Linked DNA regions of Cricetulus griseus. The protein of the gene in region 4 interacts with the protein of the main gene of each other region in a pairwise test. Links are inferred from orthologs where the notes say so. Each region holds a gene or a part of one and is shown on either strand. Other genes may lie near its edges.

Region 1 (8,159 bases), on a different chromosome or scaffold from region 4:
TTGGGATGGTCTTGATAGTTACTGGATGCAGGAGGACCCAGCCCACTGTGGGCAGTACCAAGGTAGGTGATCCTGGACTGTCTAACAAAGCTAACTAAAGATGAGCCTGTGAATGAGTCAAGAGGACCATCCACTAAGCAACATTCCTCTATGGTTCCTGCCTTGAGTTCCTGTCCAGACTTCTCTCAATGGTGAACTTGTTACATAAAAGAATAGGATCTGGTCTGGAGAGATAGCTCAGAGGTTAAGAGCACGGACTGCTCTTCCAGAGGTCCTGAGTTCAGTTCCCAGCAGACACATGGTGGCTCACAACCATCTATTTATGAGATCTGGTGCCCTCTTCTGGTGTGCAGATATACTGTTGTATACATAATAAATAAATAAAATCTAAAAAAAAAAAAAAATTGGATCTGCCTCTAGATTGGTGTTTCTCGATATTTCTATTTCTAATCCTTTCATACAGTTCCTCATGCTGTGATGACACACAACCATACAAGTATTATTATTATTATTATTTGTTTTTTGAAACAGGTTTCTCTGTGTATCCTTGGCTGTACTGGAACTCACTTTGTAGACCAGGCTGGCCTCAAAGTCAGAGATCTGCCAGCCTCTGCCTCCCTAGTGCTGGGATTAAAGGCGTGTGCCACCACAGCCCACCATAAAATTATTTTCATTGCTACTTCGTAACTGTAATTTGCTGTTATGAATCATAATGTAAGTATTTGGGGGGAGATAGAGGTTTGCCAAAGGGGTCGTGACCCAGAGGTTGAGAACTGTTAGTCTATGTTTTACCGATGCTTTTGTTTCCCCTACTTAAGGGTTAATCCAGTGGGGCAGGTTGAGGACCTGCTTGGTGATGCACGTGCAGGCTCGTCTTAGAATAATGTAAATTTCCACCCAGGTTCAGTTGGGTCTTTCTGACTTCTGACTCAGAAAACCTTTTTCTTTTTGTTTCTTTTTTTTTTTCTTTTTTTCTTTCATTTTTGGAGACAAGACCTCATTATTTAGCCCTGGAACTTGCTATCTAGGACAAGTCTCACTGAGATCCAATATCCTGTACTTTTACCCAGAGTGTTGGAATTAAGGGTGTGTGCAATCATGCCTGGCACATTTCTTCTTTTGTCTTTTCCTTTTGGATTCTGGACAGAGCCCAAGTGTGAGAAGGTTTTTGTTTTGTTTTATCAAAGATGGCTATCTTGCCTAAGGGTCAGTATTCCATAACTCTCCTTAGTTTGTGAAACTCTTGTAGTATACGTCCAAGCCTCAGATGCCAAACATTTCTGAGACTTTTCATCACAGGCTTTCCCTTTGTGAGTATTATGGAGTAGCAATCATGTCAAATTGAGGTTGAGCTCCTACCAACCGGGTGAGACACAGACACACCTTTGCCAGAATAGAAATGAAGTCAGCTTGTGGCTTAGGTGTGCTTGCCTGCCTGGCTGGGTTACTTTCACTTTGTCACTTGCAAGAATATTCTTCCCCAACATAAGTGTACTTTTAATTTCCATGCACTGGGATTCCTTGCATATTCTCTGAAGGCCCCCCCTCCCCCGCCATGTGACTGACCTCTATGCCGGTTTATCTTATGACAAGGCTTTCCCCTTCTCCATTCTCCTCCCCCAGGCAGTTTCTAGATCTCCAGCTTGTTTGCCCTGTTTTTTTTTTTTTCTTTAAATTTGCACTTTGGGCATCTAGACTTACCCTCCAATACCCCCTCATGCCATGTGGCTGACCTCCAAACTGGCTATCTCAAATGGCATCATGCCTTTCCTTTTCCTCCATTCTCCTCTGGGCAGCTGTGAGAGTTACAGTTTGCTCGACCTTTGAAGGGTTGCCCTCTAGCCTTCGTTTTTATCTGTTCTTAAATTCTTTCATGGACTATAATCCCCAAGAAGGGACCCTGACTTCACCAGTTAACATGGTGACATTGACAGATGCCCAAAGCGCTTCACTAATACATCTTTCCGGTGCGTTTTAAGTTAGGTTTCATAGTTGTAACGACCATGATCAAAAGCAACTTGGGGAGGAAAGAGTTTATAGGTTACAGTTCACTAAGGAAAAACAAGATGGAAATTGAAAGCAAGAACTGAGGTAGAAGCCATGGAGGAACACTGCTTATTGGCTCGCTCCCCAAGCTCAACCAGGACCATCAAAGCAGGGGTGGCACCACCCACAATGTCTGGTCTCTCCTACATCAATCATTAACCAGGTTAATGACCCCACGGGATTGCCTAACAGGCCATCCCAGACAACTCTTGTGTGTGTGAAGCTGACAGGGAAAACCAACCAGCCAAACAAACAAACAAACAAAAAACAACTAAAAACCCCACCAGGACGTGAGAGAAAACTAACTTTTTCTTTAACCCTAGATGGCATCAGACTATAACCCGGAGAAGCGTAAGATGAAATATGCTTTTGCTTGGCGGTGGTGGCACACGCCTTTAATCCCAGCACTCTGGAAGCAGAGGCAGACCAGCGAGTTCAAAGCGAGTTCCAGGACAGCCAGGGCTACACAGTGGAACCCTGTCTTGAAAAACCAAACCCAAACTAATCCAAGCAAAAACCCCGCCCCGCTTCCCCTTAGTTGTTTATCACAGCAAGAGAAATAACTGGAGCGGAGAGGAAAATAATAAAACTTCTTCCTGGAGAGAACGCTTGTGCACGCCTTCCGCCCATTCATGCCTTAAACTTTTGTGGGCCCAGGCTGGCTTGTCCTAAAAGAGCCAAGAAGGAGGCACCTGGGTGCAGAAATCTGCTGTCTTAGTGTCAGTCTGTTTCAGGAGAAAACAGGAATAGGGACTGGCAAAGGAAAACGGGTTTATTTACAGCCTGGCCAGACTGCCTGGAGATAAGTTCTTAGGCTCCTTTACCTTTCCTGTTTACAGCAAAGAGGAAACAAAAGCCCGGAAGTGTGCATGATGATTGCTCTGCAGCGAGGGGATCGGAACGGAGAAATCTCTCCTAGGAAGCCCCTCGCTTTCCCTTCTCGCGACAGGGAGTGCCGAGGGCGTTTTAATTACTCAGGGTCCGCGTGACATTGGTTCAGGTAGTCCGGACCCGGCTGTTCCCATCCGCGAGGGGGGGGGTTCCCGGAACCATTCCTACGCTCCCTTGGACACCGGTCAATGGCGTTCCATTGGCCGGATGTCTACTCCGCCTCAGTTCCGGTGGAAACCGGAAGCAGTGCGGGCGGGATCTCTAGTCCTTCCGGCACGCAGACCCTCCCCCCTCTAGTGGCAAGTCACCGCCTAGTGACGTCATTCCGGTGCGCCGGCAGGGCTACATCCGGGTTTCGGCTGGCGGGCTCCTCGCAGGCTCTCGTAGGCTGGAGAAAGCTGTGTGGCTGGCAAACGCCGAGCGAGGTGAGCGGCGGGGTCGGGGTGGCGTCCTGGGAGCACGGGCTGAGCCTCTGCGGCGGCCCCATGGCCTCCCTGCGCCCGGGTCTCCAGCCATGGGCTGCGGCGGGGCCGGGACCAGATGAGGCGCTGGGAGCCGCCAGCGTCCCGATGCTGACACTGGATAGCCAGCCCCGGGCGCGCTCGTGTTGTGAGCAGCACCTGACCGCTGTGAAATTTTTTTTTTTTTGTAGCAGTTCTGTGCTGGGGAGGCGACGGTGTTGTAATCCGATTGGTCCAGGGCTCCCTGCCTCCTTTGAGAACTTTGCGAGCAAAGTGCACTCGTAGCTCAGGTTGGAACCTGTTGATGTTAACGGTGCATAATGAGGAGGAGCAGGGACACATTTGTTAATGGCTAAGCAGTCCCACCCTGCTAGAGAAGCCCAGATCTCGCTGTACGTAAGGAAGACCGCTGTCAGTCGATGGCGTCACACACTGAGGACGTTAGTGTGCTGTGTACCACGCTAGCGTTTTTGTGTGTGATATCCACGCATGTGATAACCACGCACAGAGGCGCTGGTAGAGGGGGGCTTTGAACTCAGGCTGTGTGGTTTAAGTGTTCCTGATTTTCACAATCCTCCCTACCTCCCTCCGTCCCTACACAGGGTCTCTCTGTGTAGCCTTGGCTGTCCTGGAACTCGCTGTGTAGACCAGGCTGGTTTCTAATTCACAGATCCGCCTGCTTCTGCCTCTCCAGCCTGAAGAGGATACTGTTTTTGGTTTTTGTTTTGGTTTTTTCGAGACAGGGTTTCTCTGTGGCTTTGGAGGCTGTCCTGGAACTGCCTCTTGTAGACCTGGCTGGTCTTGAACTCACAGAGATCCGCCTGCCTCTGCCTCCTGAGTGCTGGGATTAAAGGTGTGCGCCACCACTGCCCGGCGAGGATGCTGTTTTTAAAGCACCTATTGGGAGCTCAGCTTTTGTTATTTTGTTTGTTTTGAGACCAGGTCTCACTGTGTGGCCCCGACCAGCCTGGTATTCACTATGTAGACCAAGCTGGCTTTGAATTTACAGAGTAGACCTACCTGCCTCTGCCTCCTGAGTGAGGCGGTGGGGTGGGAGGTTGAGGAGGGGGATTGTGGAGTAGGTGTTGAGGAAGTTTTCTTTCTTTCTCTCTCTCTCTCTCTCTCTCTCTCTCTCTCTCTCTCTTTTTTTTTTTTTTTTTTTTGGTTTTTCAAGACAGGGTTTCTCTGTGTAGCTTTGGAGCCTATCCTGGCACTGGCACTTGCTCTGTAGACCAGGCTGGCCTAGAACTCACAGAGATCCGCCTGCCTCTGCCTCCCGAGTGCTAGGATTAAAGGCGTGCACCACCAACTCCTGGCAGGAGTTCTCTTTTCTAAAGTGCCACTTTAATCAGTCCTTCTAAAACCGACTGTAGTCACTGATACAATTACCGAGATGGCCAAACAGATTCCTGGGTAGAACAGTTTGTTTATCCCACACCCTCTAGGTGCCGCTGTGTAGTGTCATTCATAAAGACCTCAGCCTTCCAGTACCTCAGAAGCCACTCAGGTTTGAAAGAAAAAACCCGAGTGTTACACTGGTCATTCAATCTCATGAAACAGTATTTCAGAAGACATTCAGAAGTTTCCCTGGGACTCCCAGTTGGCTTGATATAACTCTTGGAGAACTGAAGAGGCTGAGGTGCCCACTCAGTTTCTGAGGTAATAACATAGAACTATTACTTCCTTCCTGTGGCACTTATGGGTGATGTTTGACTCTGACAAGGCCAAGGCAGAATGGGTTCTTAGACCTGTATGGACTGCTGGGACTGACTTCTCTCACTTGTCCCAGAGCTGGCCACTTTGTCCTGTGTTTAATGGCTACTTTATTGACTGGTAGCATGAGGCTAATGGGCTTTCCTTTGGAAGAAACAGGAGTAGAGATTCCTGGGCATCTTCTGTTGGCCCCAGGGTTTCACATTGCTCTTCTTGTCCCCCTTCCTCTAGTGACCAGCCATGTCACTGTCCCACCTGTACCGGGACGGGGAAGGTCATCTGGACGATGATGATGATGAGCGTGAGAACTTTGAGATCACTGATTGGGATCTCCAGAATGAGTTCAACCCCAACCGGCAGCGTCACTGGCAGACCAAGGAGGAGGCCACTTATGGGGTATGGGCTGAACATGACTCCGATGAAGAGAGGCCCAGCTTTGGAGGCAAACGGTACTGTCTGCTGAGCTGCATGCCCTGGCTTTAGAGGATCGGAGAGGCACCCCAAAAGAGTTTTCTGGCCTATCAAGTCCTATAGCTACAGCATCTTGCTGTGTGTTGTTGACCTGGGGTGGCAGGTTCTTCCTCAGCACTTACTGTGACGAATACAGCTACTTAGGGATAGACGAGTGCTAACCAACCACAGGCTTGGTAGCTTTGGAACCATGCCCTGGTCAAGGAGCATTCTCACAGGTCCTAAAGGATAGGGAGGTTAGGGAAGGTCACCCTGTAGAATACAGTTGGCTGAAATGAAGGTAGAGAGTGATTAGGGCCACAAGATAAGTGTGGTAGGACAGCCTGTGCTACACAGTAAGACACTGTCTCACAAGAAAAGAAAAATGCATGTGTCCCCACACTTAACTACACTCAGAATTTTTTATTAATTTTACTTAGGATCCCCCCGAGACAGGGAGTCTTTGTGTGGCCCTGGCTGTCCTACCACTGCCTCTGCCTCCTGAATGGCAGGGATTAAAGGTGTGTGCCACCACTGCCCAGCTAAGATTCTTATCTATCAGAATTTTTCTGCTCCTGTTTGATTTTTACACTTGAAATGGTATCTAAAACAAATGGTGTGTTGTGTGTTGCTGGGAATTGGACCTAGGGCCACATGCATGCTAGGTGAGTGCTTTACCACTCTAAAAGCTAAAAACATTCTTTTCAATTGTAAAGGGGGGGGGGCAGTGGGATGGCTCAGCAAGTAAAGCTGCTTACCACTGCCACACAAGCCTGGCTATCGGAGTTCTATCACCAGATCCTACATAAGAAGTGAAAAGGAAGACCCACCCCACAAAGTTGCCCTCTGACCTTCACATGCTTGCGAGGCACATGTGCCCTCATCGTGCACATTTTTAAAAGTGTCAAAGGGAGGGCTGGAGAGATGGCTCAGAGGTTAAGAGCACTGGCTGCTCTTCCAAAGGTCCTGAGTTCAATTCCCAGCAAGCATATGGTGGCTCACAACCATCCAAAATGAGATCTGGCGCCTTCTTCTGGTCTGCAGGGACACATGCAGACAGAACACTGTATACATAATAAATAAATAAATAAATAAATCTTTAAAAAAAAAAAAGGTGTCAAAGGTAGTGGGGCAGTGGTGGCACACACCTTTAATCCCAGCACTCAGGAGGCAGAGACAGGAGGATCTCTGTGAGTTCAAGACCAGCCTGCTCTACAAGCGCTAATTCCAGGACAGCCTCCAAAGTCACAGAGACACCCTGTCTCGAAAAACCAAAAGTAAAAAAAAAAAGTGTCAAAGGGAAGTAAGGTTATTACATCATCTTTTTAATTTATAATCAACTCTGGGAGCCTATCCTGGCACTCACTGTGTAAACCAGGCTGGCCTCAGACTCACAGATATCCACCTGCCTCTGCCTCCCGAGTGCTGGGATTAAAGGCATGTATCACCACTGCCTGGCAAGATATTATAATTTTTAATATGCTAAACATAAGATTATTGGAGGTCAGTTTTGAGTCCCTTTTGGCATTTGGGCATAATAAACATATTATGGTTTAAAGTGGATCCCACGAGGCCCCTCTCTCTAAGAAGTTCTCTCTGTGAGGACAGGGTGCTGCAGAGGTGTTTTCTAGCCTTGGGGGATTTGTGTCTGTTTACAGGGCCCGAGACTATTCTGCACCGGTCAACTTCATCAGCGCAGGGCTCAAGAAAGGGGCAGCTGAAGAAGCGGACTCTGATGATTCTGATGATGATGAAAAGCCTGCGAAGCAGGAGGACTTTCCAAAGGACTTAGGACCAAAGAAGTTAAAAACGGTAGGTCTCACAGGATAGTCTCTAAGTGGCAACAGTCAGAGGTCATCAGTGCAGCAACTTCTTTGGCAGAGAGAAGCCCAGTGGGCAACTGTGTATGCTACCCCCATAGGTCCTGAGTCTCTTTCCTGGTCTGTGTCCCTGATGTGGTTTCGGTCTACACACAGCTTTTCATAGCACACTGGCTGCAGGCTGTTCTCTCTCTCATTGGCATTCTCCCTTTTATTCTGTGTTTCTTTCTCACCCATGCTCATCAGGCCTTCTTTGCAGGGTGGCAATTTTAAGCCCAGCCAGAAAGGCTTTGCTGGAGGAACCAAGTCGTTCATGGACTTTGGCAGCTGGGAGAGACACACAAAGGGCATCGGGCAGAAGCTGCTACAGAAGATGGGCTACGTCCCTGGGCGGGGCCTGGGGAAGAATGCACAGGGTGAGTGAGGCTGTGGCCCAAGAGGAGTTTGGTAGAGGGATGCCTCGTCTGCCTCTTCCCTTTAGGAAGCCCGTCAAGTATGGGGTGATCTCTGCGGATCAGGTCCTGGGAAGGATGCTTAAACTCAAACCCAAACAAAACAGCTGTTAACTTTGCAGCTGGATTTGGCAGCATGGGCCACTTGTGCTCTCCAGCTGCCCAGCTTTTCCAGAATCCAGGTTCAGTAAAGCGCTTCCTTAAGTAGGAAGGAAAGCGGTAGGGTCTAGAGTGGCTGTACATAACTGATAATATTTGCAAGTCAGACTATTTCACCAAGAACTCTATAGAGTTTGCCTGGCAGGAGTTTGTTAGCTTCACAGCTT
Region 2 (8,081 bases), on a different chromosome or scaffold from region 4:
TGCTGGTATTCATGCCCAACACATAAAGGTTATCTTCTCAACAATTCAAGAGAAAGTCTTATTTTCCCAATTTTTATGTTTGGGAATATAGACACAAAATTAACTAACTAGCTAACTAACTAAGCAACCTGACTAGAGTTGCTCCAATGGGTAAACAGCAAAATTGGGACTTGAATGTGGTTATGGGAACTGCTCATGGCTTTAGTTAAAAACCTATGTGTAGACTGAGGAATGACAAGAGCCAGGCTAGGCTAAAAGTGAGACCCTGTCTCCAAAGAGAGGAAAGAGAGATGGGGAAAGGGGGGGGGACAGAGAGAGAAGAGAGAGAGAGAGAGAGAGAGAGAGAGAGAGAGAGAGAGAGAGAAGAAGGGGAAGAAATAGGGGGAAAGAGAACTAATCCTTTAGGACACTTTTCTGTTTATTCTTAAGAAATGATGTCAGCTTAAGACCCTCATTGTCTTCAGCTTCAAATCCCTAGGGTTGACATATAAAACTCAGGATAACCAGGAAGCTCAGAATTTCAGGGAAGCATTTTTTCAGGCAAAACACCTTTTTAAATAAATGTGTTCCAAATACATATGAGACATGCATATACCAAAAAGTTATAGGTTGTTAACCTCAAAAAGAAATTTACCTGAGAGTCCTACAGTTTCAGTTGCTAAATCTGGTAATCTAGGGGGAGAGGCCAGCTGTATTTAGGTCATATTATGGCTCTGGCTGGTAATGTTGGGCCCAAAAGGGGGTCCAACTTCGGGGAGACCAATCCCACAGAGTCACTCACAGGATGCAAGTTCAATGCAAAAGCAAAATGATTTTATTCCAATGCATTGGGGTCTTTTCCTAAGAAGAGATAAATCTGAGTTTCCAAAGCAAGCAGTTTTTATATCTTTTTGGTCACTAAGCAGGAGTGTGACAACATATTGATTCACTATAACATACATGAGTCATTTACTGATTGGTTGGGAACTGAACTTACAATTTTGCCCACGAGGGGTTTGGAATGTTATTTTGGTTTTTACACTTGTAAGGCCATGGAACAGCTAGTGATTTTTCCAGGAACTGAGTGACTTATACTTATTTTCAATACGTGGGTGCTCTGGAGCAGGGTAACCCATAACAATTTTTAGAAACCAGACAGTTGTTGAGGATAATAGCATTCCTTGGAAACTAGTAATAATAACAATTTCCAGAGACTGGTCTTCATGAACCAACCATTTCATGTGTTCTTTTTCCCAGAGCTGTGTGTGTGTGTGTGTGTGTGTGTGTGTGTGTGTGTGTGTGTGTGTGTCCAGAGTGATTTTCAAATACATGCTTGTGGGTATCAGGCTGGGTTTTGAGTTGGGGTCTTTCAGTAACAGTTAGGATTAATGCATTGCTGAAGAATTGTCTCCATTTCTTATTCTTCAGAGCCAGTGCTCAGGTTAGACCTTAGAGGGCTGAAAAAGAATTGCTTAACTAGAACAAGTGTGTTAGCTCATAGGGGTTACTATCACAAAGTGCCACAGTCTGAGCGGCTTATTAAAAAAAAACAACAGCAAAACAAAATAAACAAGAAAAACAAGAAACACCATTTCTCATAGTTCTAAAGGATGGAAGTCTTAAGTCTGAATGTCAGCATGGTGAGATTACAGGGAGGATTCTAGACTGCCAGCTTTGTATGCTGCTCTTCCATCTCCCCCCTTTATAAGGCATTATATTAATTAAGGGCTTCATCTTCTTGCTTAATAGCTTCCCAAAGGCCCCCACCTCCTAATATCATCACACTGGGGGACGAAGAGATAAAATTATTCAGTTCATTGCTATAGAAAATGGTGGGAAAGCCTAGGAGAGGCTTCACATGGGTTTATTTTATCAATCCTTTGAATGTTCATAAAGAGCCAAGTTCTCAATGCTACAGAGATGCTGACCCCCAAAGGAGAAATACAAGGTATTGTAGGAAAGGCAGTGTCACTCCAGGAAAAGCAAAACCTACTGATTTAAAAAACGGATGCGGGAGGTGGGAAGAATTAGAGAATTCAAAGAGGTGCCCCTAGATGGCACCCTTACGCTGAAGTCCCAGAGAAGCCCCGATTTTCCAAAGCAATGTCCACCAGGGTCTGATGGTCTAAGGAAAACAAACCCATTTTTCTTTTCCCCTGGGTGGGAATGTGTTATACTGCAGCTACAGGAAGTGTATGCAGCCAGACAAGAGTGCCTGAAATAAAAAAAACTTCAGTGACACACCCTTATCTTACCATGCTCCCCATGAGAGTTAATATTACTAATATCACACAGCCACAGCTAGACTTGGGCCCTGAGATGGAGACTCCAGAGCTCCAGCCCTTAGTTTTCCACTGTAAGCTCAGAGGCAGTGCTTCTGAATACCCGATGGCTGCGCCCCATCCCCCAATCCCTCGGAAACATTTTCAGCCATCACAGCTGGGAGGAGCTGTTACCATATATTTATTTATTTCGTGGGTAGAACCCAGGAATGCTTCCAAGCACCCCACAGTGCGCACAGGGCATGTAGGAAACAGACTCATCCCATCTCAAATGCCAACTACTATTGAGTAATTGCACTCTTCAGGCCTGGATTTGGAATCAGGAAACGTGGGTTTCTCTACCATGGATCCTTGAGAAGAGGATCTGAGTTTATTTATAAACCTTATCCCTTTAGCTCTCCGTTTGTTTTTGTTTTTAATCTGCAAAATGGAGATAACCCATCTCTAAGATTCCCTGACTGCCAACATTTGCACTTTCGTAATGGCTAGACTTTCCAGTCTAGGAGGTACTTCTCCGACTCGAACTCCGGAGGCGAATCTAGAACTGGATCTGTATCGAAAAGTTCTTCTAAAAACCCATCTTCTGAGGCCAGTCCACCTGAGACGTGGCCCCAGAACTTTCACTCCAAGCCACCGTTGTAGGGACTGTCTCCAAGCCCTCATTTCCTCGTTAGTCATCCTTTAGAGTCTAAAAGTTTGTAGGGGTTGTTCCTAGAGTGTGTGGTAAGAAGCAAATACTCCTAGCAAAGCTGGCAGCCGCGCGGCTGGTGCCAGGATACCGGATCCTTCCCGCTGCGGCGGGAAGGCGGGGCAGGAACCTGGGCCTGGGCGGAGAATCAGTGTTGATCCTCGGTGAGGGGGCGGGGGCCTAGGGGAGGGGCGTGGCAGAAGAGCGGGGCTTCTTCCTAGTTGAAGGAAGAGCGCCTGCCGGTGGGGAGCTCCAGCTCCCGTCCTCAATCAGGGCTGCTTCCCTTCTCTTCCTCCTACTCTGCTTTCCGCCCCTGGTGGCGGCTGAGCTGGGTGTCGCGGCAGCTAGCACCAGGTGAGAGAGCAAAGCTATGGGATGTAGAGTTTAGGGGCCCCCGACTGGCTGAACCCTCCAAGCTCGTCCTGGGAAGTGGAGGAGTTCGGCGGCGGCCAGGAGAAGTGCACTAGCTTCTTTCGCCAGTAGCTGTTGGTCTCTTGGGTTGGTCTTGAAGGTATCTGAAGCCTCGTGTCGCTGGCTAGACGCGGGTGGGAGCTCACGGGGCGAGCCCACCCACCCTTTCCAGCCATCCCCGCGCTTACACATCGGTAGCTAGATTTGGTTAAAAAATAGGGGGTGGGGGTGAGCACCAGTGCCAATCCACGAGCGAGGCCCTGCTTCATTTGGGGGAAATCTGCATTGGAAAATTTAGAGTCGCCCAGGCATCCACACCACCTCCTTAGGATTGATCAACAGGGGTGTCATGCGCCACAGCAGGAGTGAGCTGCAGGTGTCAAAGGTGGGTTTGCCCCAGAAGATCAGTGAAGGGTGCCCAAATATCCTGAGTTGTCCGTGGTCGGGTGTCAGATCTACATCTGCACGTCACACCCTTTTCTTCTCTCTGGATTCCCGGCCTTAAATTGAAAGTCTCAATACTCATCGGAAAAGGGAACCGGGATAGGTCTTTAGGCGCCCCAAAGCCCTGCCCCCAGCTCTGGGATTCGACCCGACCCGCGGCTGGAACGTTCACGGTGGCGGTTTGCTCATGGGACGAGGCAGTAGGGAGGCAAGGCTTTATTTGGAGCCTTGGGGCGGGGCCTGTTCTGGGGGAACCTGGTTAGGCCCCCAAGCTCAGAGTAGGCGGGGCGCCCTAGGCTAGTTGGGGTGGCTCCTTCGGTCCTTCCTTATGATGCTGCTTAGTGTCTGCAGAGGACCCTAGAAGAAGTTGAGGTCTGGAAATTGGTTGGTGGCTAGGTAGACGCGTGTGCTGACTGTGGTCATCCGCATTCTTCCCAGGTTTGCCTTCATCAGACTCCCCAGACCGGTCCGGTAGGCTCTTACATGTTTTCCAGCCAGAAGACGACTTGTAAGGGGGGCAGGTTGGCTTGTTTTAGCCAGCTGCAGAGATGAAATTAGGTGAACTGAAGGCTGGGACCATCCTAAATTCAACAACATTGCCAGCTGCTGCATTAACGACATAAATATGGGAGTTGGTGTAGGAGTTGGTTCTCCCCTGGCTGAGAAGAGACTCTCTTTGTAGCCGGCGTTATGAAACTATACATACCACACTCTATAGTGTAGACAGTGGTAAAGTATGTTTCCTCACTGTAACACATAATAGGCAAGTGGGATATTCAATGTGGTAAATAAACGTGAGGATCTCTGAGTTGTTTTTGACACCGTGACAGAATCTACATAGCTCAAGTTATGTGAGGTCAGAGGGTTGGCTGATAGGATATATGCAGAGATCCTATTCTGTCCCACCCAGACAGATGTTCTGGGATACATAAAATAAGAATAATATTTTATTTGAAAACCAAACGAGGGCTAAAAGTGTATCTAATTTGGCGAATTGCCTTCATGAAAAAAAACGCATAAATGATGTGAAATGAATAGTCTTGTAAATTCCAGGTTTTCTATCGACAGAAAATAATTATGCCAAGGCTTTGGGGACAGGTATTGTTAGTGAGGACCTTACCACACATAAATAAAAGGTGGCATTGTTCAAGGTGCTTGGGAGCCAAATGAAGAAGAGAAAGTGTCCCAAGTCCCTGTTGAAGGAGAAAAAAAAAAAAAAAAAGACTGGGAGGGGTAGGGGTAGAGAGAAGGGGTGAGGAAACTTGAATAGTACATATAGTTTTCTTGTTTGTCATATGTTCTTTTCAACATTCAGGCTAAAAGGCATACACACTCAGAGATTATGTCTTTCTAGCTTTTTTTATACTGTGTGTTTGTGTGTGGTATAAAACAGTGAAGTGTTTATTTATTGGTTTTTTGAAACAGGGTTTCTCTGTATTGCTTTGGAGCCTGTCCTGGAACTCACTCTGTAGACCAGGCTGGCTTTGAACTCACAGAGATCCGCCTGGTTCTTCCTCCCGAGTACTGAGTACTGGGATTAAAGGCGTGTGCCACCAACACCCAGCCATCGACGTGTTTATAATAAACAGATTTAGCTTCTTCCTTCTAGCTTGCTTGCTGGTCATTATATATTACAAACAGGAATGAGATACACACCCTTTGGAAATATTTTCATATATCTATTTAACTCATTTAGGTTCATGAAAAATAAATTGCTGGATCAATGTCTGTGCAGCTTATAAATTTGATAAATATTGTCAAGTTGTATCCATCTGCATGCCTGCCATCAGTGTGTGGGATGGTACAGGCTCCTCAGGGATTACTAATGTTTCAAGAAACTTTCTGTTTCCTTCAGTGATAGCAAGAGACAGGCGACATGAGAGGCTGGGCTACATGCTACATCAGTGAACTTAATGGTAGAAGATATAATTTATAGTGAGACTGAAAGACATTTCAAGATGGCTAAAGAAGAGCCCCCAAGTGTCTCCAGAGACTTGCAGGAGCTGCAAAGGAAGCTGTGTTTGCTGTTAGACTCCTTCCAGAGTAACTCAAAGGTTAGTCTCCAATGCTATGTATAATGAGAAATGAACACTGGTCTGAACAAGACAGAGTGTTGCTTCTTTCTCAAATGCAAATTTACAAGAAAGTCAGGAATCTTTCTCATTGCACCTTGATATGTCTGAGTTGTGCCATGTTCGTTGTGGCTGCTAGAGCATCAGTCATAATATTGACATTCAAGGTAACAGGACAATAGGGGAGTGGGAAGAACGATTGTTTTGAAGCCACCTCCAAATTAAGGAAGATTCCTGGAAGTCACAGAGAATTGCAGAACACTCCCATTTACATCCCATATAATGGCCACTCTTCAGCTGAATCTAAAGAGGCTACTTTTAGCAGACACTACTCTTTTCTTTGAAAAGTTTGGCTCATCTGCTCCCATAAGAAAGGGGGCCAGCTAATAACTAGTTTAAGATCTGAGTTTTGTTTCATTAGAAATCCATCATCCAACAGAAATGTTACTTTAGCCACATGTGCACTAAAATATCTTATTACTTAACCCTACGTACAAAGAAGCAATGGCTTAATTTTAAGAATGTATCTAAGTTAATAAATCAAAAATAGTGTCATTTTAGTATATAGTCATGGAAAAGGAAATGTTTCACATTCTTTTTTTTGTACTGACTCAGAATCCTAGGCTTCTTTGAATTTACAGGACTATTATGATACAAATTAGCCAAGTTTATCATGTTCAGTCACCACCACTCAGTGCAGTGGGATTTGAGATACTTTGCATTTGTATCTTTTTTTTTTCTGTATGCCTTTCAACAATGGTTCAGTGGGTGAAGCTCTTGTCCAGCTATCATGAGGATGTGAGTTTGAATTCCCAGATCCACATGTGGTGGAATCTTCAGAGGCAAGACTTCATTGAATTTCAGGTTTGAACCATAACAAGCTGGAAATGTTTCTAACTTATAGACGCTCCAGATTCCCACCCTTAAAATATAGGAGAAGTATGTGATTTAGAAAGAGGCCCTTCTGATAATGGCACTTCATTTCAGCCACTGGCCTCCAAGGCCCTGAGGAATGAGACACAGGAAAGACCAGTTTTTGATGGAGGAGGTGCACTCTACCACCACCACCCCCAGTTTTCTTTTCTTTTTATTTCACTGTTGTTTTTTGGGGGGGGATATTTTTTATATAATATATTGCATCCTGGTTTCCTACTTCTCTCAGAGAATCAGCACCCACCCAACTCCATGCCCTTTCTTTCTCTCTCTTTAAAACAAACAGGCATGCTGGGCGGGGGTGGTCCACACCTTTAATCCCAGCACTTAGGAGGCAGAGGCAGGCAGCTCTCTGAGTTCCAGTCCAGCCTGGTCTACAGAGGGAGTTCCAGGGCTACACAGATAAACTCTGTCTCAAAAAACAAACAAATAAACAAAAATCCCAACCATAAAACAAACTGGCAAGCAAAAAACAAAGCATAATAAACAAAAAGAAAACAACACAAGAAACACACATATACACAATCCATAAAAACACAAAATTGGAAATCATTATATACAGGCAAAAGGTTAGTAAGATAAAAAATGCCCAAACAAAGCACTGAGAGACAAAAAGTCTACAAAAATACCATTGAGTTCATTTTCTGTCATCCATCTATTGCTGGGCTTGGAGCCTGCCCATAAGCCAGTGAGACTCCATTTTCCTTCGCAAGTGGATAGCTTCTTGGTTAGGGATGGAAGCTCATGTGATTTGACCCTCTTGGTGCTGGGATACTGGCCACCTTGAATTGTGCAGGCCCTGTGCATGCTACCACAGTCTGTGAGTTGCATATGTGCATTAGTCCTTTTGTGTCTGGAAGATACTGTTTTTTTTTTTTTGTTTTTTTTTTAATCTTCCTTTCCCTCTGGCTCTTAGATCTTTCTGCCTTCTCTTTTGCATAGCTCCCTGAACCATGAGGGTAAGAGTTTGATGAAGAGATCCCATTTAGGACGGAATATTCCCCCCCCAAAAAAATCTCTCATTCTCGGAACAATTTTCCAGTTATGTGTCTCTGTATTAGTTCCCATCTACTGCAGGAAGAAGTGTCTCTGCTGATGGATGAGAGAGACGCTTATCTATGAGTATAGCAGAATGTAGTTAGTAATTTTATTGCTGTTTCTTTAGCAGAGCAATACTATTTGTTTTTCCCCTAGGCCTCTCTAATCTAGATTCTTGGCCACAGGAGCAGTGTCAAGCATGGGTTCTATCCTGTGGAGTGGGCTTTAAATCCA
Region 3 (6,334 bases), on a different chromosome or scaffold from region 4:
ACCCTGTCCTTCTCCTTCCTCATCTCCTAATTATTTTCTTTCTGAGAACAACTCCAAGCCCTCAGTAGAATGTCTGCCTTAGGAGTTATAACCCAACAGTAGATCTGGCACTCAGGGATCAATTTATAAATTATTGTTGGACAAAAAATAAACTGAGAAAACTCCAAGTAGAACTAACTACCCTACAAATTATGCGGAGCACCTTGCACACACTAAATCTTAAGGAGTATTAGCCGCACACCCCATTCCCAACCCCTTGCATTGTGGCTACTTCCTCTCGGTAGAATTGTCGGGACATGACTCTCAATTCCATAGTTCAGCGATGCAATCTTGTGGCTGCACCAGAAATGAACAGACTCATGGAACTGGCAATTGAAAACCTAGATGCTAATTTTCTCATTTGCAAAAACAATTGAGACTTAGACAAAAAAAAAAAAAAAAAAAAAAAAAACAGGATCATCTTCTGTTTCCTATGTCCCCATAGACAAACTTATCTGAAACAAAGTTCCCAGTCAAACAAAAGCCAGTGGAAAGGCAATAGGTAAATAATATTAAGGATAAATGACACTGGCTCTATGGTTTCAAGTCCAACAGCACCAAACATGCCAAGGCCTGGGTCTTTGGGGACGGCTTCCTGGGAGACAGCTGAATGCCCTTCCTATCATTCTCACTCAATCTCTCCTTTTTCTGGGGCTATATTGTCATTGTCTATATTGTCACTGTCTCCCCTACCACACTCCCTTCAGTTTTCCTTCAAAGTATGAGTAACAGTTAAATTTCTAAGTCACTTCTACTCATCTTTTATCACCAAACTGTCCATGTACTTAATAGCTCTGCAACCACTCCCATTTCATAGATTCATTCAGTGGGAACACATTTATTCTCATTGAATAATAGTAACCAGCAATTGTGACCATAAATTTATTCCATGTTCATTCCTTAATTTCATTCTTAAACTGCAGCCCTAACTTCCTATTTGGAGTTTTTTGTGAGGCACAGTACTGCACGCCTGCAATCCTAGCACTCAGGATGTAGAGGCAGAGACTCACTGAGAGTTAGAGAGCACCTTGCATTACACGGCAATTTCAAGGCCAGCCTGGAAGGCATGAACAAACCCTAACTCAGAATAACTTGAGGTCACAATGTTGTAAGCCTCTTAGGTTCATAACCTCTATCTTTTTTTTTTTTCAAGTTTCTCTGAGCAGCATCTCACTATATAGTCCAGGCTGGCCTTAAACTCTCAATCTTCTTGCCTCCGCCTTCTGAGTGCTGAAATTAAGGCATAAGATACCATATCCAGCTCTCTGTCCCATTTCTGAAGTTATAACATCTCCCCAAACTGCAGTGCTTAAGACATCCAATGGCATCCTCCTGCCACCCATAGCCTAGCTTACCCATTGGAAAAGCCTATTCTGCACCCCAGAGTTGGAGACCTAACTCCCCCACTACCCCCCCCAGGGCCTTACCCCACATTCAGGGAAGAGAAATGGGTACAGAAAAAATTAAATGGCTGAATGGCATCCCAGACACCCAGCCTGAGAACTTCCAGGAGGAAGCAGCCTCTCCTCCCTTGGCAGGAGTCCAAATAGTCATGCTGCTAGCATGCTTTCCTGACAAAGCCTGAAGCCATGGGAAGTCCCCCGGGGCAGAGAATTACTTGCCATGGCAATAACTAAGGGTGAGTACTAGCTAAGCGCTACCTAGGCTACCAGTGTTTATGAGGCAAGACAAACTGTTATCCTGTCCTTAACTCAAGGCACTGCCTGGGAATAAGTCACAATGCCCCAGGTGTCCAAATCCAGAATGGTCGGCCCAAGTGGGAGGAGGTGAGGAGGGTTTGGTGAAGATAGAGTGAGAGTTGGGGGTGGGGGCATCCACAAAGGGCCCAGTTCCCTATTCTCTGAGCTCACCCTTGAGTGTAAACCAGGGTCCTCCTTCCCCCTGATTCTTAATCTCCTAGCACTAGCTCCTCCTAATACCTCCAGCCCCAGTTCTGCTCGTCCATCCCCAAAGCCTTTATAGATTCCATATTATCCCTCCCAGCAGTCTGGATACTGGAGAGTGGTTGAGTAGGTCAGTGAGCCATGTGTGTCCCCTGGGACTTCAGCCAGGCCCAGCTCCTGGACAGTATCCTAGGGCTGGGGGCACTAGGAGTGACAATTGGAACAGTCTTCTCGAAAGCTGGCCTAGCCCTGCTGCTCCTGCTGCTGGCCAGCTTCCTTGCTTTTGACCTGCTCCATGGGTAAGTGGCAGCAGCCTGCCAGGTGGGTGTCACAAGCACAGAGTCAGATGAGCAATTGCCTTGAGCTGGCATCTTCTCTCTCCACAGGTCCACAGGTCCCATCCTGCCAAGACACAGACTTCTCCCGATGGGTCAGAGCCAGGGGGCTGGTGAAGGTCCGGGACAGCAGGCAGCTCCCCTCTTTCCAACAGGGATAGTCTCAGGACTACTCAGCCTCCAGGATGCCCTGTTCCTGCTGTTCCTGGGCCTGGGCCTATTCTTGGGAGGCTCTGGTATACCCTTAGCCCTGCTGGGCCTTGCTTTCTGCCTCCATCCTTGGGACCGAGGGCCCTCAGAAAACTGAATGCCTTCTAAAAATACATCGCCCATTCTGCTTCCCCGGCTCTCCTCTCTTCTATCCTGAGTTACAGAGGTTGTGGTGTAAGGGTAGAATACACTATTGTGTCAGCTTGAACCTCAGAGGCCTCTAGTTCCATAATATGGACATTTGAGAACTGGGTCTGAGGCTTAGGGTGATAAGAGAAGGCAGAGAAAAGGGTGGACACAACAACCAACTCCAGTCCTGCAGTTGGAGGTAGCCATCAAGAAGGGACGGGAGTGGGGAAGGGTTCCTACAAGCAAGAAGAATGGTATCTGGGAGGCTTGCTGAGCTCTCCTGCCAGCCTGGAAGGTCCGTAGTGAGGGACTCAAGTGAGTCTCACACTATGCTGCAGTAGCTCTTCTCTCAGCTGGGCCCCGCCCCAGCCCAGGTCACAATGGACTCCTCTGAGGATGGTGGAGTGAGTGAGGGTGAGCCTGGGACCTGGCTGCCAGGCCAGCCTGGGCACAACAGGAAACATCATGACTTAGGTGGCTCTGACCAAAGGTAAGTCCTAGGCCCCAGTTCAAAGCCCAATCCTGCCCGTGCTGGTATCCTCCTGACCCCTGCAACCCCACCTATCCAGAGATCCTGGGCATCTCCAGGGCTGCTCCTGCAGCTGGCCTGGCCCTGTCCACAGGTGCACCAGCCGTGATGCAGCAGCCACGAGTGGAGACGGATATCATCGGGGCTGGCGAGGGGCCCCAGCGGGCAGTGCCCTGGTCAGCCTGGGTCACCCGTCAGGACTGGGTGCGATGGTGGGCATGCCACATGCCCCGGAGCTGGTCCCAGTGGTGGAATACATCAGGCTGGCGGCAACCTCTACAGCGTATGCTATGGGGTCTGGAGGGGACACTCTACCTGCTGCTCGCACTGATGCTATGCCATGCACTCTTCACCACTGGCTCCCACCTGCTGAGCTCCCTGTGGCCTGTGGTGGCTGTGGTATGGAGCCACCTGCTGCCAGCTATCCTGCTGCTGGTACTCAGTGCCATGCCTGCTCTGCTCTTCGCTGCCTCCTTCCTGCTGCTCTTCTCCACACTGCTGAGCCTCGTGGGCCTCCTTACCTCCATGACTCACCCAGGCTATGCCCAGGACTTGGACTAATAGAAGGGCAACCCCATCTTATTGCCTGTGTCTGTTGAGCCCTGGCCAAGGTCTGAGCCCTGTGGGGAACGTCAACAGACCTCAGACCCCCAATCACAAGCACAGGTGGAGGTCTGGCTTCTGGGAATCTACCTTAAACCCATGTTGGTGTCGGGGACAGGACAAATGGTTCAGCCAGGGCCAAGATCTTGGTCAAACCACTGAGAACACCTGTACAGATGTGGTAGCAACACTTGGTCTCCCAGGCAGCATCTTTTTATCATACCTCCCAGCCCTCCCTGCTTCAGGCTTCCTGAGAGTTTACACCTATATATCCCTGGTCTCATCACTCTGTGTGGATTTGTCATGGATCCTCTGCTTCCAGAAGGAGCATAGACTCTGGGAAAGAACCTTACTGAAAGATAGACAGGGGTGGTCCTGGTCCAAAACCCTGGTGACCTCACCTCAATCACCTCCCAGAAACAGGAAATAGACCAATCATCATAGTGAGGTGTGTGTGTGTGTGTGTGTGTGTGTGTGTGTGTGTGTGTGTGTGTGTGTGTGTGTACACATGCTAGAGAATGAATCAAGGCTTTGTACGTAAGCATACACTCCACCCTACATACATACAGAGCCTCCAGATCTGTTAGGAAAGAACAAGTCCCATTTCAGACACCTACACTTTGGCCAATTCATTATTTTTGAATCTCATTGTTAAGTGGGTCCCATTCTTTTCATGGGACTGTTATGATCCAAAGTCAGTATCTATTTGCAAAATACTTTGGGTTTTTGTTGTTGTTTTTGTTTTCATTTTGAAACAGGGTCTCATGAAGTCCAGGATGGCTTTGAACTCACTATTTAACTGAGGATGACTCTGAACTTCTGATCTATTGCCTCTACCTCCAGAGTACTGGGATTAAAACTTGTGCCACAATGCTTGGTTTTATGAAAAGTACTTTGTAAGGCCAAAAAGCAGTTAAGATGTTTTGGCTCCAAGAACATTCTACAAGCGCAAAAAGCCTTTCAATCCAGAAGTTAAGATGATGAAGCAAGTTTCTTTAGAATTCCAGAGAAATTCTGTCGTGGATAGAATCTCAGCCCTAAAATAGTTAACACAGAATAGATGGTGTGGATGAAATGTAAAAGGTTGTGTCATACAACCTCAAACTAGGCAGATATTGAACTATACTGGTTGTGCAATGCTTGAGGTTGTAGCCAGGAAATGCTTGCAAAGCTGTGTGAGTAGGGAAGTAATAGCTCAGGGATTTCCAAAATTGATCAAGCAAGTTGTTTACATCCCAGAAGGTTTTGGATCATCCATAAGTCCTCAGAGTCTGGCCATTTACCTATCTGCTGACCCCTCCAACCAAAATGTTGAGTATCAGTTACCAAATAAAGTGACAGACATGTTAGATAATTTGCCAGGGCCCAGCTAACAGTCTTTATCCACACCCACCCCTTCCCATTTCCTCCTGCTTCCCAATTCCTTATCTGTTTTTTAATTTTTATTTTTAATTTCTCATATTTACATATCCATCCCCCCATTCCCTCACCCTCCCATGTTCTTCACCCAACCCACCCCAACCTACTCCCCGACTCCTCTCCAGGGATAGTGAGGCCCTCTACCAAGGACCTTCAAAGTCTGTCATATTGTTTGGGGGAAAGTCTAGACCCTCGTTGCTGTATCTGGGCTGCAATAGTATCCCTCCATAGGGAGTGGGCTCCCAAAGACCATTTGTGCTCTAGGGATAAAGACTGGCTATGCTGTCAGAGGAGCCATAGACTGTCTTGGGCTCCTAGCTGGTAGCCACATTCAGAGAGTTTGGTTTGGTCCAATGCTATTTCCCCAGATTTATGACTAGGATCTCCATTCTATCAGTAGGTCAGGTCCACTGTTTCTGCAGGTCTCTCCATCCCCGTCTTGGCTCCTTTGCTCAACCCTCCTCCCTCTCCACAACTGAATTCCAGTAGTATGGTTCAGTGCTTAGCTATGGGTGTCTGTTTCTGCTTAGAACAGCAACTGGATGAAGACTCTCCTTCCTTTTCCTGCCCTGGGCTCCAATTTTGTCAGGGGTTCTTGTCCCCATCCCCTTCTTCGAGGGACTATGCAATCTTCTCTTGGGTTCCTCCTTGTTTCCTAGCTCCTCTGGCAGTGTGGAATTTAGGCTAGTGATCCTTTGCTCTATGTCTAAAAATCAAAAATGAGTGAGTATATACCATGTTTATCTTTTTGTGATTGGGTTACCTAACTGAGTATGGTTTCTTCTAGTTCCATCAATTTGCCTGCAAATTTCAGGATTTCATTGTTTTTTTTTTCCACTGAGTAGTACTCCATTGTATAAATATACCACATTTTTTTCTATCCATTCTTCAGTTGAGGGGCATCTAGGTTCTTTCCGGGTTCTGGCTATTACAAATAATGCTGCTATGAACATAGTTGAACATATGTCCTTATTGTATGAGTGTGCATTCTTTGGGTATATGCCCAAGAGAGAGATTGCTGGATCTTGAGGTAGACTGATTTCCATTTTCCTGAGAAACTGCCATATTGCTTTCCAAAGTGGCTGTACAAGTTTACTTCCACCAGCAATGGAAGAGAGTTCCTCTTTCTCCATATCCTCTCCAGCATAGATTGTCATTTGTTATTG
Region 4 (7,410 bases):
GGGAAGGTGCAGGTGAGAGGCCCCTTCCAGCAGTGCTGTGGGTGCTAGTAGGAAGAGAGCTAGACTTGGAGCTCCTGATGAGACCCAGGAACCAGGACACAGACATCTGACAGCCTGTCTTATTGTAGACGACACCGGAGAGCACAGTGGCTGGTGCATCCTGTGTCATTTTAGGGTAGGGTAGGACACTTACGTGAGAATCTGGCTGTTGTACTAGAGTACCAGACTAGGAAGTTTAAATAACATTAGCTTACTTGTCACAGTTCTGGAGGCTGGAAGTCCAAGATTAGGGCTTTAGTAGACTTGGCATCTGATGAGTGTAGGGAGAGATCCTGGATACCTGTACCGCTGACCATGGAAGGAGGTGTTCAGACTTGGACATCTCTTTCAGATGAGTTTAGGGTTTAGATGGGATAGATATGGTTAGGATGAGATATAGGTAGATTATCATATCTTCTTGTGATTCACCTTAGTGATTATTAACTATAGACAACTTACATTGCTGTAGATTCTCACATGACGTGACTTACGTATAACTTGTACATCTCCATTCGTCATACTGTGTAAAGTCTTCTTTCTATTTATGATGTTCAGCACATAATATCCTTACCATCTTCTATGTAGATATGCTTTACATTTGTTTAAGACATTTTATATATTTGACACAACTTAGTTTTGTTTCAAAAATCTTTTATTTAGACTAAAAGGGGAATTGTAGGGAGAGATCCTGGATACCTGTACTGCCCGTTTGGGCGTGGTCACAGGTATCTAGGATCTCTCCCTACAGATAAGGTCCCATTTTCTGGTTTCCTGGCTCTATCCTCATGATGGAATCACCTTCCATGTACTAGCATGCTACAGGTTAGGTTTCAGACATACAGTACACGGAGAGGCTCATGTATAGATCAGCCTGGATCAACTTCAGCCTTTGAAGACTCCTCCTATAGGCAAGACTTGCTGAGCCTCAGCCAAGACCCATTTGTTATTTGCTGAAGGTTCTCCCTTCCAGGGTGGCAGCTATCATAGCCCTAGTGATAGCTTTTCCCTCCTGGTTGGGATGAAGTTTACCTTTGTGCCAAGGTCCAACCTCAGCATCTTGTATTAAGGAGTGTTTTTAAGCTAAAGCAGTGTCCAGATAGACCTAGCTGTAGGTGTGTGTATGTGAGCACATCTCTCTGTCTGTCTGCCTGCCTGCCTGCCTGCCTGCCTGCCTGCCTGCGTGCGTGCGTGCGTGCGTGCGTGCGTGTGTGTGTGTGCACACGCACATGTTTGTTTTACAGAGATTGCCCTGTCTCTTTACTGTCCTGTCCTGCTGTGATGTTAGGGCAGATCAGGTTCCTCTGTGAGGGTACTGTGGTTACAACAGAAGTCCACAGACTTGGAGGCTTAAACAAGCACTTCTCTTCACGGTTCTGGATAAAGGTCTCATGCTTCTCTGGGTATGAGGCTGTCCCAGTCCCAGGATTCGTGGCCCTTCCCTCATATGTTAGGGTGACACAGTGTTCCTCACCCTACAGATGCCTTTGCTCTGTAGAAGTCTTCATACCCTGTATACTTGAGGTCCTTTAATGCTGATGGCAGGGCTGTGTGCTTACTATGCTTACTCCTATTTCTCAGGCTAAGGTCGATGCAAGACTCTCGATAGGGTAGGGATCCTTGTCCTTTCCTAGTTTGCTCCCAGCTCCTGTCCTCCTGGTGTTGAGGTGGTGGGAGTCCTGCTGGGGGGTTGTCCTGTGGAAAGCCTGGAAGGTGAGCCTGCTCCAGTGACCTAGGTCACTCCAAAGGAAGGCTGCATGCTAGACGGGCCTCCTGCACTGGCGTGCGAGCTCTCTCCTGACACTCCTCCAGGACTTTCTCCTGTCCCCACCATTCCTTTATGTGTCTAGCTAGAGTCTATAGCAGGCAGGGTCACCTTCCCTTAGTCACCAGAGAAAGAAGATGGATTAGTCCACTGCCATGGAGGAGGCCCCCCTTCACTCCTTACTACTTGGGTTTGGGGTTCCTTTCGTCACCTGATGTCTGAGGGATCCGATTGCTCTGGGAACCTGTGTGCCTTGCTGCCAGGCACTTATTCATACATTTGTCCATCAGGTGCATACCGAGGCTGGGGCCCTGTCAGGCACAAGGGTCCTTTGTTGCCTGTAGGGTTCCCCAGCTACTTTAATAGCAGTCACATAAAACCAAGTGCTTAACCTGGAAGCCATGGGACAGGAGGGGCCTCTGCTCCAGACTCTTCATATGAGGCCTGGCTATATGAGAAGAACCCAGAACTTCTCCCAGTATGACTTGTTTCTTCTACTCTGGGACTTTGAATGGCAGAGCAGGCCCTTGGCTCTGGACCCTGCTCTGCTGTTGCCTTCTGGCCTTTCCTAGTCACGTCAGCAGTCTTAGTTTCCTTTTGTGAGGTGAGAGTGGCACCTAGTCTACCACCCGCTGCCATGGGAGAGCAAGGCTTGTTCTTGAGTCCTCAGAGCATCTCAAGTAGCTGAGTGAGGGAGCTCCAGGCCTCCCACTGTTGCCATGTAACATGTGAATGGCACGTAGGACATGGCATTTGCTCAGATTTCATTTGAACCAGAAACCTGGCCATAGGCCTCTCTCTCTCTCTTTAGGGCACAGTGCTATGTAATCATAGCCTTCACCAGCAGCTTCTGGGGCCTTGGCTGTAACTTTGTCACTGACTGACAGCGGGAGCCCTATTTTCAGATGTAGAAGTCACTGAGAAGGGTTTGGAACTTGTTCAAGTTCATTCAAGGTTAAAAAATCAGAGTGAATCTCTGAATTCACCCTGAGTTTGAAGTTTGAACCTATAACTTTCAAAGGAAACATGGGGTGCTCACTGCCCCCTTTCTCCATGTCTCAGATTCACAAGAACAGCCAGGCTCTCTGACCACCTGTAGCAAAAACCTCTTAGCTGCAACCCAGGGCTGACAGAGGAGTGGGGTGGGGAAGTTGGGGGTTGGGGTCTGCTGCCTTGAGGTGTCGCAGAACCCAGTGGTCTCCATCTTAAGCTTCTGCAAGCTTTCCTCGCCTTTTGTACTGGTTTCTCTCCTTAAAGCCCCATAGGCTTCAGTGTTGGCCCTGCTTTATAGGCGAGGAACTCGTTGCTAGAGTTGTGTACATCTTCCTGGCCCTGCTTGGGTGCTCGGTGGTGTGTATAGCTGCCAGCTAAGATCACAGTAGAGTTCTGGAAGAAGCAGGCTAGAGCTATCTGATGCCTCCTAGGTTGTGAAGGGGACCTCCACAGGGGTCTTAGGCATAGCCTTACCTTCGGAGGGGAGAGGGGGCTGGTTGGCAGTCACATGCAGTACCCTCACCAGGAGTTCCAGACCAGTCCTTCTCTTCACACTCTCCTTTATTCTCCACAGGGTCAAGATAAGCATGAAGATTTGTATGCCACCGAGAACTTTGAAGATCTGGAAGCCGAGGTTCAGTTTTCAACACCACAGGCAGCTGAAACCTCCCTGGACTTCTCTGCAACCTCTTCCCCGGACCAGTCCCTGTCTTCTTCCCTGGGTCATGCCCACAGTGAGGGCCCAGCTCCTACCTACGTTTCCAGTGGACCCTTCAGGGAAGCGGGGCTGTCGGGACAGGCCACCTCCCCTATGGGCAGAGTCAATGGGAGGCTCTTTGTCAATACGAGAGACTTATTCTTGGCCAGTGGCATCCAGCGAAGATTCTTCCACCAGGACCAGTCCCCTGTGGGGGGCCTCACAGCTGAAGACATTGAGAAGGCCCGGCAGGCCAAGGCTCGCCCTGAGAGCAAGCCACATAAGCAGATGGTGGGTCTGAGAGGCAGCATAGTTGGACCTGGGTGGTATTGACCCCTAATCCCCCCCCCTCTACGTTGGGATGCTGTGTCTTGAAGGATACGGCAACCTTTTGGTACAGTGCTGCCTGCTGGAGTTGCGGCCAGTGGGAGTGGAGATGGGGGTACAGGCAGCATGAGCCTCAGGTTGCCTTGTTTCATTTGTCAGTTTTGTCAATTCCATAGGTTTCTTTTGTTTTTCCCCTCCAGCTCAGCGAGCGGGCTCGGGAGAGGAAGGTGCCAGTTACCCGGATTGGGCGGTTGGCCAACTTTGGAGGTGAGGTGGCCACGTTCCCTGTGCTGCCCCTCTCCTACTGCCCTGCCCTGTTTGTCCTGGTTGGGTGGAGGTACAGTGGAGGCCACTGTGCATTAAGGTGGAAGTGGTTTGGGAATCAAGCCATGTGCCAGTATTGGGAAGCATGTGGAATGTAGCCCAGGAGCTAGCTGTTAAAGGGTCTGGGTGTTCCCATGGGTGATGACCTGGTACTGAATTCCATCCCCATCTTGGCTTATCCTTGGGCCTGGTGTGTGGCCAAATCTTGCCATGAGCTGTAACCTGGACTACTTTGTGGGCCTTTGTCAGGGCAGCCTTTGCAGACAGGAGACTGGCCATGAGTACAAGCTCTTCACTGGACCTGTCAGCTCCCTGGATAGAGGACTTTTTACCCTGGGTCCAGCCATTTGGGGGACAGGTTTACCAGGTCCCGTTGGTCTGAAGCTGTTAGTGTGATGATATTGACAGAATGTGGCCCTCTGTTGCTGTCAGTTAAAGCCATTTCACTTTGCTAGTGTTGGGGACTTCATCTGTCCTTACTGTCATGTGAACAGCCTTTGAAATCTCATACCTGCGTTCTTTTGCAAGGACCTTACACACTGAAGGTGTGTCCCCATTGCTCATCTGCAGAGGCCCTGTTTGGAATGCTGGCCATCTGCAGTGGGATACTCTGACATGGGTTTCTGGTGGTACCATTTATTAAGGTGTAGCTGTCCCCAGTAGGTTCTCCAGGCAATATAAATGACAAAATAACAGTTTTGGTGGCTTATTTTACTTATTGGCCTTGGCCAGATGGTTGGGTATGTAACAGGTATGATGGGTTCATGGTGCTGCTGGTGGTGAGTTGCTCGGGAGGCCCAGACCTCTGTCTACCCTTTTCTGGGAAATACGCTTTCTTCTATGTTCCATCTGTATTGGTTACTTTTTTTTCTTTACTGTTGACAAAACATGACAGAAACAATAGGTTTCAGAGGGCTCAGCTCTGCTCATTTGACTGTTTCTGGGCCTGGAGTGAGGCAGTTCATCATGGTGGTTGAAGTATGTGGTAAAGCAAATTCTTCACTTGGTGTTGGGCAGAAACAGGCTGGGAATAATCGACCCTCATGGATTCAGCCCCATCGTGGTAGCCGCTATTCTGTGCACTCATAGAGGAGGGGCTGAGCCCAGACCTCTGTCTTGTATGGGGACATCTGAGCTTCCTGTCCTATAACTAGGTCCTCCATGTAACCAGCCAGCAGAGGGCCTGTTAGGTCTTCCCCGCCTCTGGCCAGGTCCTGAGGCCCTGGGAGAAGAAACCTCGGGGTGCTCCCCTCCCTCCCTTTTGTTCCTCTTCCTTTTGTACCTGGGCTGTGGCTCCTGTCCTAGGACCATGACTTCTCTGGGGTTGAGAATGCTCTTGGATGCCAGGTATTCTTCCAGGAGACTGTTAATACCTAGAAGCAAAGGGCAGTGCCCATGTCCATCTGTCTGCTCTGTGTGGACTTTCTTAACAAAGTGAGTGAGCATGTGTGTTAACTAAAGTGGGGTTTGGGGCTGAGGGTGTGGTTCAGTGGGTAGAGACCTTGCCTAGTACACACAAGACTGGCTTTCACCCTGAGTACAAAAAAAGGGGGGGGGGTAAAAGCAGGACCGGGTCTGTGGCGTATGGTGCCTGATAGCTCAGTGTTGTCTGGCTGCTTCTGCAGAGGCCTCTTTCAGCCTTGCTTTGTAAACAGGCCCCGGAGTTTCAGCAGGCAGAGCCAACAGCATCAGGAGTGGTGGCTTACTGCTCTTGCTGTCCTGTGTGTCACTGTCCTGCTCTTGAAGGACTCTGTTGTTGAAAGTTGTTTTGCTTTTTTCTTCTCTGGTGACTGGAGGAAGTGGAGTGACTGCTTCTCGGGTGACCCGAGTACCCAGAAGAGGCCCCAGACCTGGACACAGGCCCACCGGGCCTCTGCTTTGCCGAGAGCTCGGGCCCGGCCACTTCCCTTCCTTGATGGCAAAACCACCTTTCAGGATGGGCACTTTGTAGCCTGCAGTGTGCTGTTGTTACAGGCCAGGAGGAAGGCTGCCAACAGGGGTTTCCTGGTCCTGGTGACATGTAGACAAGCCTTCTAGAGCAGGGGTCACAGTAGGAGAGGCAGTGCTGTGTGAGGTCCTTGGGTGCAGAAGCAGGGTACCTGACAGGTGGCAGGAAATTAGTTTCCCCAGAGCCACCTGGCTCTAGATGAAGGCTGAGCTGGGCAGGGAATTCCAAGAATCACACGACACCAGGCCCAGTGCTTGGGTTGGAGGGCAGTTTTTTCTGAGTTTGTAGAACTGAGGAGGCCAAGATCACAATTGCTGGCTGGGTGAGCTTGTTTTTGCTTTCTGGTTTGCCTGCTGCAGGGAGCCTGTCCCTCAGTCGGCAGCTCCTGGGCCTGGTGCTATTACTGAGGAGTCTGAGGCCTCCTTCCTGGAATGTTCCTTCAGGCGTTTGTTTAGTAACAGCTCTCCCCATTGTAGAGTTTGTGCTTTGCCAAGAGCCCAGATACAGCCAGGAACAGTCTGAAACAGCGTGAAGTCCAGCCAGGGTATGTTTAGGAGGGTCCCGTGTTCACCTGGACAAGCTGATGACCTGTGATATCATCTGCCTTTTCTGTGGGCTCGTCTCAGGGTGTGCTCTCAGCAGGAGGACTCTAGATGTAAAGGGACATTGGTGAAGGTTGGTGTCTAAGTCGGATATTGTGCTGGGTAGGGTGAGGAAGACAGGTGGTGGGGAGTTAATGTTTAATCAGGACTCTAGTGCCCAGTGCCCTGCAGGGTGGCAGGGGTAGGAGGAGTGTTAAAGAGAACGGCGCTGGTGCCTGCCCCCACCAGGCATCCATGTTAATGCCTCTATCCCAGGGCACCATGTCCCTGGTGGGATTTTTGTTGTTGTTGTTCGTTTGTTTTTGTTTTTCCAGACAGAGTTTCTCTTTGTGGCTTTGTACACCAGGCTGGCCTGGAACTCACAGAGATCCACCTGCCTCTGCTGGGGTTAAAGGCGTGCGCCACCACCATCCTGGTGGGCTATCTTAAATTGTGTCTCTGGGCATTACAGGAACTGTGACTTCTTCCAGTTTGTGTGCTGTGCATGTGCCTCCCTACAGGATTTCAAGACCAGGCACACACCCACAGATGGAAAATGCCTTTAATTTTGATAATGATGTCTATTTTACACATACTGGGTTAAATACATTAGAATTCACTCTTTGTGTTTCTGCTTGCCTTTTTAAGTGGGCTGCTAGAAAATCTAAAGTCATGCATGCAGTTGGCATGAGACTTATTTTGTCATCGCTGGCTTGATTGTTTTTGTTGTGGTGCCCTG

What was found.
Region 1: the proteins of Coq8a (region 4) and Tfip11 interact in binary tests that used the Homo sapiens proteins (3 or more experiments, as listed by UniProt). The two-hybrid records come from large-scale screens. The link is inferred for Cricetulus griseus from reciprocal best matches to the Homo sapiens genes COQ8A and TFIP11.
Region 2: the proteins of Coq8a (region 4) and Tmem159 interact in binary tests that used the Homo sapiens proteins (3 or more experiments, as listed by UniProt). The two-hybrid records come from large-scale screens. The link is inferred for Cricetulus griseus from reciprocal best matches to the Homo sapiens genes COQ8A and LDAF1.
Region 3: the proteins of Coq8a (region 4) and Tmem239 interact in binary tests that used the Homo sapiens proteins (3 or more experiments, as listed by UniProt). The two-hybrid records come from large-scale screens. The link is inferred for Cricetulus griseus from reciprocal best matches to the Homo sapiens genes COQ8A and TMEM239.

What each region holds. Positions count from the first base shown.
Region 1 is NC_048597.1:91,997,925-92,006,083, forward strand, and holds the start of Tfip11 (tuftelin-interacting protein 11), read left to right. Parts: upstream 1-3,232; 5' UTR 3,233-3,362; intron 3,363-3,589; exon of another isoform or gene 3,590-3,790; intron 3,791-4,843; 5' UTR 4,844-5,057; intron 5,058-5,342; 5' UTR 5,343-5,351; coding exon 5,352-5,560; intron 5,561-7,219; coding exon 7,220-7,373; intron 7,374-7,640; coding exon 7,641-7,797; intron 7,798-8,159. UniProt on the Homo sapiens protein: Involved in pre-mRNA splicing, specifically in spliceosome disassembly during late-stage splicing events. Intron turnover seems to proceed through reactions in two lariat-intron associated complexes termed Intron Large (IL) and Intron Small (IS).
Region 2 is NC_048596.1:80,520,269-80,528,349, reverse strand, and holds the start of Tmem159 (lipid droplet assembly factor 1), read left to right. Parts: upstream 1-3,154; 5' UTR 3,155-3,303; intron 3,304-4,242; exon of another isoform or gene 4,243-4,275; intron 4,276-5,659; 5' UTR 5,660-5,717; coding exon 5,718-5,858; intron 5,859-8,081. UniProt on the Homo sapiens protein: Plays an important role in the formation of lipid droplets (LD) which are storage organelles at the center of lipid and energy homeostasis. In association with BSCL2/seipin, defines the sites of LD formation in the endoplasmic reticulum.
Region 3 is NC_048599.1:48,203,093-48,209,426, reverse strand, and holds Tmem239 (transmembrane protein 239), read left to right. Parts: upstream 1-3,239; 5' UTR 3,240-3,254; coding exon 3,255-3,707; downstream 3,708-6,334. Other genes in the region: CUNH20orf141 (uncharacterized protein C20orf141 homolog), read left to right, coding at 2,085-2,242, 2,330-2,585.
Region 4 is NC_048598.1:14,068,314-14,075,723, forward strand, and holds part of Coq8a (atypical kinase COQ8A, mitochondrial), read left to right. Parts: coding exon 1-12; intron 13-3,368; coding exon 3,369-3,782; intron 3,783-4,018; coding exon 4,019-4,085; intron 4,086-7,410. UniProt on the Homo sapiens protein: Atypical kinase involved in the biosynthesis of coenzyme Q, also named ubiquinone, an essential lipid-soluble electron transporter for aerobic cellular respiration.